Linked DNA regions of Cricetulus griseus. The protein of the gene in region 2 purifies or fractionates together with the protein of the main gene of each other region. This does not show direct contact. Links are inferred from orthologs where the notes say so. Each region holds a gene or a part of one and is shown on either strand. Other genes may lie near its edges.

What was found.
Region 1: the proteins of Atxn7l1 (region 2) and ubiquitin carboxyl-terminal hydrolase 22 purify together in Homo sapiens (affinity purification with mass spectrometry; 3 studies listed by BioGRID and IntAct, with this or other methods). This does not show direct contact. The link is inferred for Cricetulus griseus from reciprocal best matches to the Homo sapiens genes ATXN7L1 and USP22.

What each region holds. Positions count from the first base shown.
Region 1 is NC_048600.1:75,162,320-75,166,624, forward strand, and holds the start of ubiquitin carboxyl-terminal hydrolase 22, read right to left. Parts: upstream 3,042-4,305; 5' UTR 2,875-3,041; coding exon 2,704-2,874; intron 1-2,703. UniProt on the Homo sapiens protein: Deubiquitinase that plays a role in several cellular processes including transcriptional regulation, cell cycle progression or innate immunity.
Region 2 is NC_048598.1:170,988,775-170,992,585, forward strand, and holds part of Atxn7l1 (ataxin-7-like protein 1), read left to right. Parts: intron 1-2,060; coding exon 2,061-3,000; exon of another isoform or gene 3,001-3,811.

The DNA.
Region 1 (4,305 bases), on a different chromosome or scaffold from region 2:
ATGGGGGGGGGGTCAGAAATGAGTAAACAGAGTTTAAACTGTGGAATAAACCTGTGACTGTTTGTTTGTTTGTTTGTTTGTTGTTTTTTCCAGACGGGGTTTCTGTGTATTGTTTTGGAGGCTGTCCTGAAACTAGCTCTGTAGACCAGGCTGGCCTGGAACTCAGAGATCTGCCTGCCTCTGCCTCCCAAGGGCTGGGATTAAAGGCGTGTGCCACCAACACCCGGCTAAACCTGTGTCTTATAAGGGGTATGATTCCAACACAGGAAATAAGGAGAGTCTCCGTGGGAATCTGAGAGCAAGAGAAAGTCCTCTGGGAAGGCCTGCCTCTCTCCACCTAGTGACTCTACTGTACACAGATGTGCACAGTGAGACTAAGGCAGAACTGCAGGTTTGCCACTTGCACGGAAGACACATCTATCTTGTCAGCTATTACCTTAGTTTCCATCCTACCAAAACTGCTAAGTTTGAAAATGAATTTCCAGTCATCCACAAGGCTCAGATTTTTAAAAATCCAATTTAGGCATCAGCAATGATCCAGCCAGGGAGAGGCACAGTGAGGTGCACAGGGTGCTGATGGGGTACCTGTGGAGCAGCACAGCTGGCCTCTTGAGAGGAATGTGGCTCCTGAGCTGGCAGCAGGAGGCCTAGGGTCAGCCTGCCCCATCAGCCAGTACCCAAAACTTGCTTTGTGGATGGTGGGAACTGGAATGAACTTGGAATGAATAGGCCTTGAAGGGAGCCTTCATCACAACATTCACAGTAAGGTGTTGTCTCTCCTAAGCCACACCCCAAAGGCTGCAAACAACTTGAGACACATATGATGCTTTTCTCTTCATTTTTTAACTGTCATGTAGTGGTTTCATTATGACATCTTAATATATATTTATCACTGTACCTTGTTTAAACTCACCTCCAATACTACCCCTCTTCACCCCCCAACTTTTTGGGTTTCTTCCTCCCTCACAAAGTTCCCTTTCTGCATTACTGTTCTGTGTTTAGAGTCCTCTGAGTCTACACTTAGGAGTGGTGTGGCTCAGTGACAAGGTAGTCTATTTCTAGTTATTTGAGACATCTCCATTGTTTACATAGCCTGTAGCAGATTACACCCCCACCAGCAGTGTATATCAGGGCTCCCCTTTCCCCCATATCATATTTGCTGTCATTTTTCTTGGGGGTCACCATTGCTCTGATGGCTGAAGAGCTATACTTTTGCAGGTATTTGCATTCCTTCTTCTGCACCATTATGTGTAGCCAAATGTTTTTAGAGGAATAACTGGCTTGTGAAATGAAAACATTCTGAGCTAGAGGGAACTTCAGGAGAGGGTTGTTCTGTAGACAAGCTAAAGCTCAGGTCCCTTCACAAGCACTACCTGCCTTCATTTCCTACTTCACATGACTTGTGAGTGTTGCACTGGTGTCTGAATTCTGGGTTGTGAAGATCATTTAATAAAGAACTTCTAGCTCAGTGGAAATTTAAATACCGAGCTAAGCAGTCCTAATTAAAAAGGAAACTTTTCATTTCCTTCTGTGATGCTATGCGGAACTAGAACAGGGGGAGATGGAAGGGATTAAAAGGTACAGAAAGGGGAGGGGGCCCCCATTTACTCTGATGTAAAAAATGAGTTTACAACACATCTCAATCCAGGAAGGAATAGAATGCATCCGTGACGAAATTAAGACCGTGGAACCCTGGTGTCAATCTGACAGTCACCTCTATAATCCCGGTCCTCACAAAGCTGAGACAGACTGAGTGGTTAAGGCCAGCCTAGGCTACATAGACTGTCACCTCAAAAGACAAAACAACCCAAGTCTTAGTATTTCTTGTTAAAGGGCATACACTTCTATTAACAAAAATATCTGATCCTAACAGGCTATCTGTTACTGAACATAAGCCTTTAGTCACCCTAAAAGGTATCATTGTGGTGTCTTCCACCATGTTGATTAAAAAAAATAATTTAATGCTTAACATGACATACAACCAGCGGATTTGCCAGTTTTCCGGTTAAGAAACGCTACTCAAGACGGAAACAACTATTACTCCCCACTCCAGTTTCCACCTTCAAAACCAAATTGTTAACACTGAAGTCTAAGATTAAAGAAGAACATTTTCCGATTTCCAAATCTCTAGTAATATAATCATAATTGCTGAGATTTACAAAACCAGTAAACAACAAAACAGCCACTACCTCGATGGCTGCGGATGTCAATAGTCTCCTACAACCTAAAATCTCGCTTCCCAACTAGAGTACGTAGAGGCCCTGCCAGCCTCTTCTGTCTGCTGCGGGTCTCAGCAGCTGCCGCTACCCACAGAACCACCTTGCAGACCGCGACCCCGCACGGCGACCTTCACAGACAGGGACTACTCTGGGCCGATCGTCAAGGCGGAGTCTTCCACCTCAGACCCCACCTCCGGGCACCTAGAGGCTTCCTCCGGCCACCATCCCACAGCTCCAGGAAGTCCCTTGCCCCCTCCCCGCACAGCGAGGCAAAGCCTCGCCCCTTCCTCTGCCCCTCCCCGCACCGCGAGGCTTCTCCCCGCTCCCTCCCCTCGTTCCCTCCCTGAACCTCGAGCCTTCCCCTCACCCTCACCCTCACCCTCACCCCACCCCGCACCGACAGGCTCCCTCCCGTCCCCCCACCCCCGCCACACACACCCTCCCCCCGTTCCAGGCAGGAGAGAGGGGCAGGCCTAGGGCTCACCTTGCGCTTGCGGGCCTCGGCCGTTCCGCTCCACACGAAGCACTGGTAGATGGCGCGCAGGTTTTGCTTCCAGTTGTCCACCTTGAAGCTGCCCAGGTGCGAGCAGCCCGGCGGCGCCACAGTCAGTTCAGCATCCATGGCCTCGACCTCAGGCTCGGGCCGAGAGACCATGGCGGGCAAGGCCCGGGCGCGCGGGGCGGGCGGCGACGGAGGCGAAGACGACGCCAGCGCGGCGAGAACAAAGCGGCGGACAAAGACCGCGCCGAGAACCGAGGCGGACGACTGCGGCACCGACCGCTCCTCACGCACCAGTCTCCAGCTTCGAGGAGGGCGGGGCGGGGCGGGGCTGTCCACGGGAGAGGATAACGTCACCCAGGCCGGCGGCCACAGTGCGCAGGCTCCACCGCCCTAGGCCCCGCCCCACAGCCTCACTCTAGCCCTCTGGCTCCCGCGAGACGCCGGGGGGCGAGAGGGGGTGGCCAAAGGAATCCCGCCCTCGCGTCACGCCATTGGTTGTCTGCCAGTCTGAGCCACGATCGGCGGTTATCATAGGCTGGAGGTCTGGTCCGGTTTGCTTTGGAGCCTCCTTCCGAGACGCCAGCTACCGGACGTTTCGAGTCTCCACTTGGAAGGCGGGGCGTGCTAAGGATTGGGTAAAACCGAGTGCCCATCAGGCCACTGAACCGGTTTGCACCGGCCTGAGCTCTGCCGCAAAGAGGCGGGGCGCCGGACGGGGTGGGGCGGGGCCTGCTTCTGCTCTTTCTCTTCTAGACGGTTTTCTAGGTTCTGTCTGATGGTCACTTGAGTTTCTTGTGCAGGCTCTCTGCAGACTGCCATCTTGGCGACTGTGTTGGGTACCGCAGTGCAACAGCAGGGGTTGGGCGCGGCGAGAACACAGACTAAGGATCCCTTCCCTAGGGTCTAATCCAGTGCTTTCCTGTTGAACTAGAATGCCAGCCGGCATACGATTATTTTTTAGTGGCCACAAAGCAACAAGAAGCAGGTAAAATTAATTTTAACAAGTAGTCCAACAAAGACAATATCATGTCAACGGGTGATATTGTAAAATTGTTAGTGAAATGTCCTAAAAATTTTGCATTGGCCTTGGAATCTCGTATTTTACACTTTGGGTACAGCATATTCAATTTGTACTAGCCACATTAGACACACTAGGTCCTATTAAATAGGGACAGCACAGACCTATAATGCATTCAGCCCTCCTATCTGGGGTTACACAAATGAGCAGTCAATCAACTCAGTCTTCCCTCCCTACAAATTGTATCTACTGAATAATTACCTCCCCCCCACACACACACGCACACCATTATTCCTAAAAAATTATAGCAGCTAGGTGTCACACTCTGGTGACAGGTACCCATGATGTGGAGCAGTGAAATAATTCACCAAGACAGAAAAAGGCAGAAGTAGAGGGATCATCAAATGCACTGCAGTATTAGCGGCTAGCAGGCAAAACAACAGAGAGAAATTACCCGCAGGCATTCCGAGGACTGCTTTTATGGTGGTGGTGGAGGTGGGGGGGGATGTCCTATGGAAATAGACAGCATTTTGATGTCATGGTTCCCAGGAGCAACTGCAGTTGAG
Region 2 (3,811 bases):
AAGTAAGATTTAGGACTTCAATTCTGCCTGTCTGCACAATTGGAAGTATGTGTATTGTTTAATGAGAAAAATATAAATTGGGACATTCTAGGTCCCGAAATGAAGTTCCACCCGCTTAAGTAAATTAACTATTTGGTACTTGTAAATTACACTTATTATAATTCAGAGTCAAACGTCTACCCCTGTGTCTGTTTCTCTGAATTTAGCCGGTGAGAGCACAGCAGTGGGAGCACATGCAGTTCCACAGTAGGGTAACAAAGACAGTAAGAAAGTTGCCAGTGCCTCCAAGAATGTGACCTTGCCCTGTCAGGGAAGGGTTATGCAGGGTCAGACAGTTTTAAGGATGTGTGCAGACCTCTATGGTCTGCCTCCATGGGAATCCCTGCCCCGCATGCATAGCCCCTGACAATACAGTTGTGTTGCTGCTGAGATCACCTGCTTTCCAATTCACCGCCCCTTCATCCATCTGTTCACACACTCATTCGTTCATCACAGCATTATCTATCCATGTAGCATCTTGTTCAGGGCCAACAGGAGCTCTGATGCCTCATGGGCTTCAGAGGAAGGAAATTCTCAGACACCATCATGGCTGATGTAGGTTTGGCAACACTTTCGTATTTCATTTCCTTGGTCTGACAGTTTCAAAGACACTGCTTCTGTACTCAAGGATGCCACTGGATTCCACCCTCGAGATGGAAGCCACAGGCTCTACTGCAAGTGTCAGACAAGTGATCTTCAGAGGGGAATGTCAGCAGAGGGTAACTTCTCACCTGGAGCTGGTCTGCAGAGGAGAAGGGATGGTCCAAGGTCCATCTGCCCTGGGTGAGAAGGAACTTACCTTAGAGAAGGGAAGCCCCTGAAAACACACACTGGGGAACAAGCAGAGGGCTCTGCAAAAAACAAGAAAGCATTCTCTGACTCCTAACGTCACTTATTTCTTTCAAAATCAGGAGCAGACTATGATCCCATACCTACTGTACCCCCATCTCCTGGTCCCAAGAGTAGCAGCAGCATGGACCGAAGCCCTAAGATGGAAATAGAGCCATTTACAGGATAAGTCAAAAGGCATTTTATGGCTAAGTGCTTTCACATACCTATAATCCCACATTTAGAAGGCTGAGGAAAGAGACCACACACTCAAGACCATCTGGGGCTAAAGAGTGAGACTCTGTCTAAAAACAAGTATGTGGAGGCCTTAAGAATGACACCCTGCCTAGTGCTGGCATTGGTCCATGGACTCTGCCCTCAGGAACCATTCCTATCAGTTCCAAAAAGCCAGTCAAGAAAGCAATGACTGTCTGAACCCCTGTTCACATGCTGGTCTTCTGCCCACATTTTTTCACCTAAATTCTTGGTCCCCTCTGGACACAGAATCCAGGACTCTCACCTTTTCTCAGCTCAGGAACAGGAGGACTTATTGAAGGGCAGGCAGCCCTGTACTAACCCCACTGAAATAGAGCTACTGATTTTCCATGGCCACCACAACACAGTGGCCATAAGCTACTGTGGAAATGTTCTCTACAGAGTAGCCAGAGGCATTGGGTAGCAAACACAAGAGGATGCTGACAAGTGGGAAGATGGTTTTCTTTTTTTGTTTTCTTCAGAATATCTCCAGCCAAAAGTAGCATGGGAAAGAAGAATGGAAGAGGTTGCAGTAAGCAGAGGGGGACATGTCCAGGAGGCCAAGGCCTTTTCTCCTCATTGAAAACCACTTTCATCACAGCTAACAGTGTGTGAGGTGGAGGAGACTACTCAGGATATTTATAGTCTTAATAGCATTTGCCTTTTAGTCATGAACCAGATCAGCCAGTCTTCAGTCACCAAACTTAGAGAACAGTCTCTTAAGGGTGAAAATAGAAGCTGACGTTGTGATGTTGCTTTAGTGGGCAGCATAGGGAAGGGCCATCCTTCAGATCTCATCATCCTTCAAGGCTTCATTCTCCATAGTCTGGTCCTCCCGGGTGTCCTCTGTAACCCTGCTGATCAAAGCTCACCCGGCCTCCCAAGTGATGCCAATCCAATGTCTCACTGTTTCTCTTTGGCTCTTCTCTCGTGTTTAGGAAGATCCCTCCTGCGGCAGATAGTCCCATGCCCTCGCCAGCAGCCCACATCACCACCCCTGTTCCAGCATCCGTTTTGCAGCCTTTCAGCAACCCCAGTGCTGTGTATCTTCCTTCAGCTCCCATCAGCTCGAGACTCACGTCTTCTTACATAATGACATCAGCCATGCTCTCAGACGCAGCTTTTGTGGCATCGCCGGACCCACGTGTCCTCATGTCCCACACCACAGCTTTCCCCCATGTGGCTGCAACCCTCAGCATCATGGACTCAACCTTCAAGGCCCCCTCTGCTGTGTCCCCAATACCAGCTGTCATTCCTTCCTCATCCCACAAGCCATCCAAAACCAAAACCAGCAAATCCTCAAAAGTCAAAGACCCGTCAGCTCATAGCGACGAATCTCCAAGTAACAAAAAGAGGAAGCCGCAGTCTTCGACTTCCTCCTCCTTATCCTTTCAGGCTTCCTTTTCGTCTCCATTGTCAGGGCCCCACAAAAAGAACTGCGTTCTGAATGCCAGTTCCTCCTTGAACTCCTATCAGGCATCCCCTCCCTATAACAGTCTGTCTGTGCACAACTCAAATAATGGGGTGAGCCCACACAGTGCCAAGCTGGAGCCCTCAGGACGGACCTCGCTACCCAGCAGCCCCATGGACATAGTGAGACAGGTGGGCGCTGTGGGTGGCGGCAGCGGCTCCTGTCCCCTCTCCGTGCCCTCCCTTGCACTCCATGCAGGGGACCTCTCTTTGGCCTCACACAATGCTGTGTGTTCTCTGCCCCTCTCTTTTGACAAATCAGAAGGAAAAAAGCGTAAGAGCTCAAGTCCCAGTAGCAAAGCCTGTAAAATCACTAAAATGCCTGGTATGAATAGTGTCCACAAAAAGAACCCGCCCAGCCTTCTTGCACCGGTGCCCGATCCCGTTAACAGCACCTCCTCTCGGCAGGTAAGGGAACTCCTGGTACTGCCTTCATCGGCTCTCGGGGGTAGGGGGAGCTGCAGGTAACACAAGCATGGCTCTATTTCCTGAGAGTTGTTGGTAAGACCCTCACTTTGCTGGTCCCTATGCTAAGTACTTTACAGTAATCACTTCCTTTAGTCCTCACAAGAACCCAGCACAGGGGGCACAAAGCAGTCATCAGGATACAGATGGGACACAGAGAGGCTGTTAGTTCCTCCGTTCCTTTTGTCTGCCCTGAGGACTACTTCATTAAAGAGTTTTGTTGCTAAGAAGTTTGATCTGATCTGTTGGAGCTCCTTCAGGATGAGCCTGAGACCCAGGCTGGTTAAGTGATATCAGGTCCCACCTGGAGAGTGACAGCCTGAGCATCTTGCCACCAGGTGATTGTCCTCACCTCATCAAGCTGCCTCAATCCCCTCCCTTCCTATAGCAAAACTGCCCCTTGCCCCCATAGCAAAGGAAGGACTCAGTGCCAGGTCACCTGCGTGAGTGTGCACTGTAATGGAGCTGGGACATGCTGACAGCCAAAGGGTAGCTGTATCTTTCCTGGGAGTTGGTTTCCAATCCCCAAATCCAGGCTGTCTCCTCAGCCTGCGAGAGCTACTGATTACAGCCCTCTACTACTCTGGGCCCACCAGATGGAAGCTCAGAGCTGGAAGGAAGGACCCCAGTTTCCTCACCCTTTTCTGAGTGGGCTTTGAGAGCCGCCCTTCTGGAAGGTAGCCCAGGTTTATCACCAGAGAACTAACAGATCAGACCCTAAGGCCAGCGCCCCCCCCCAAGAGGTGGGGACTCT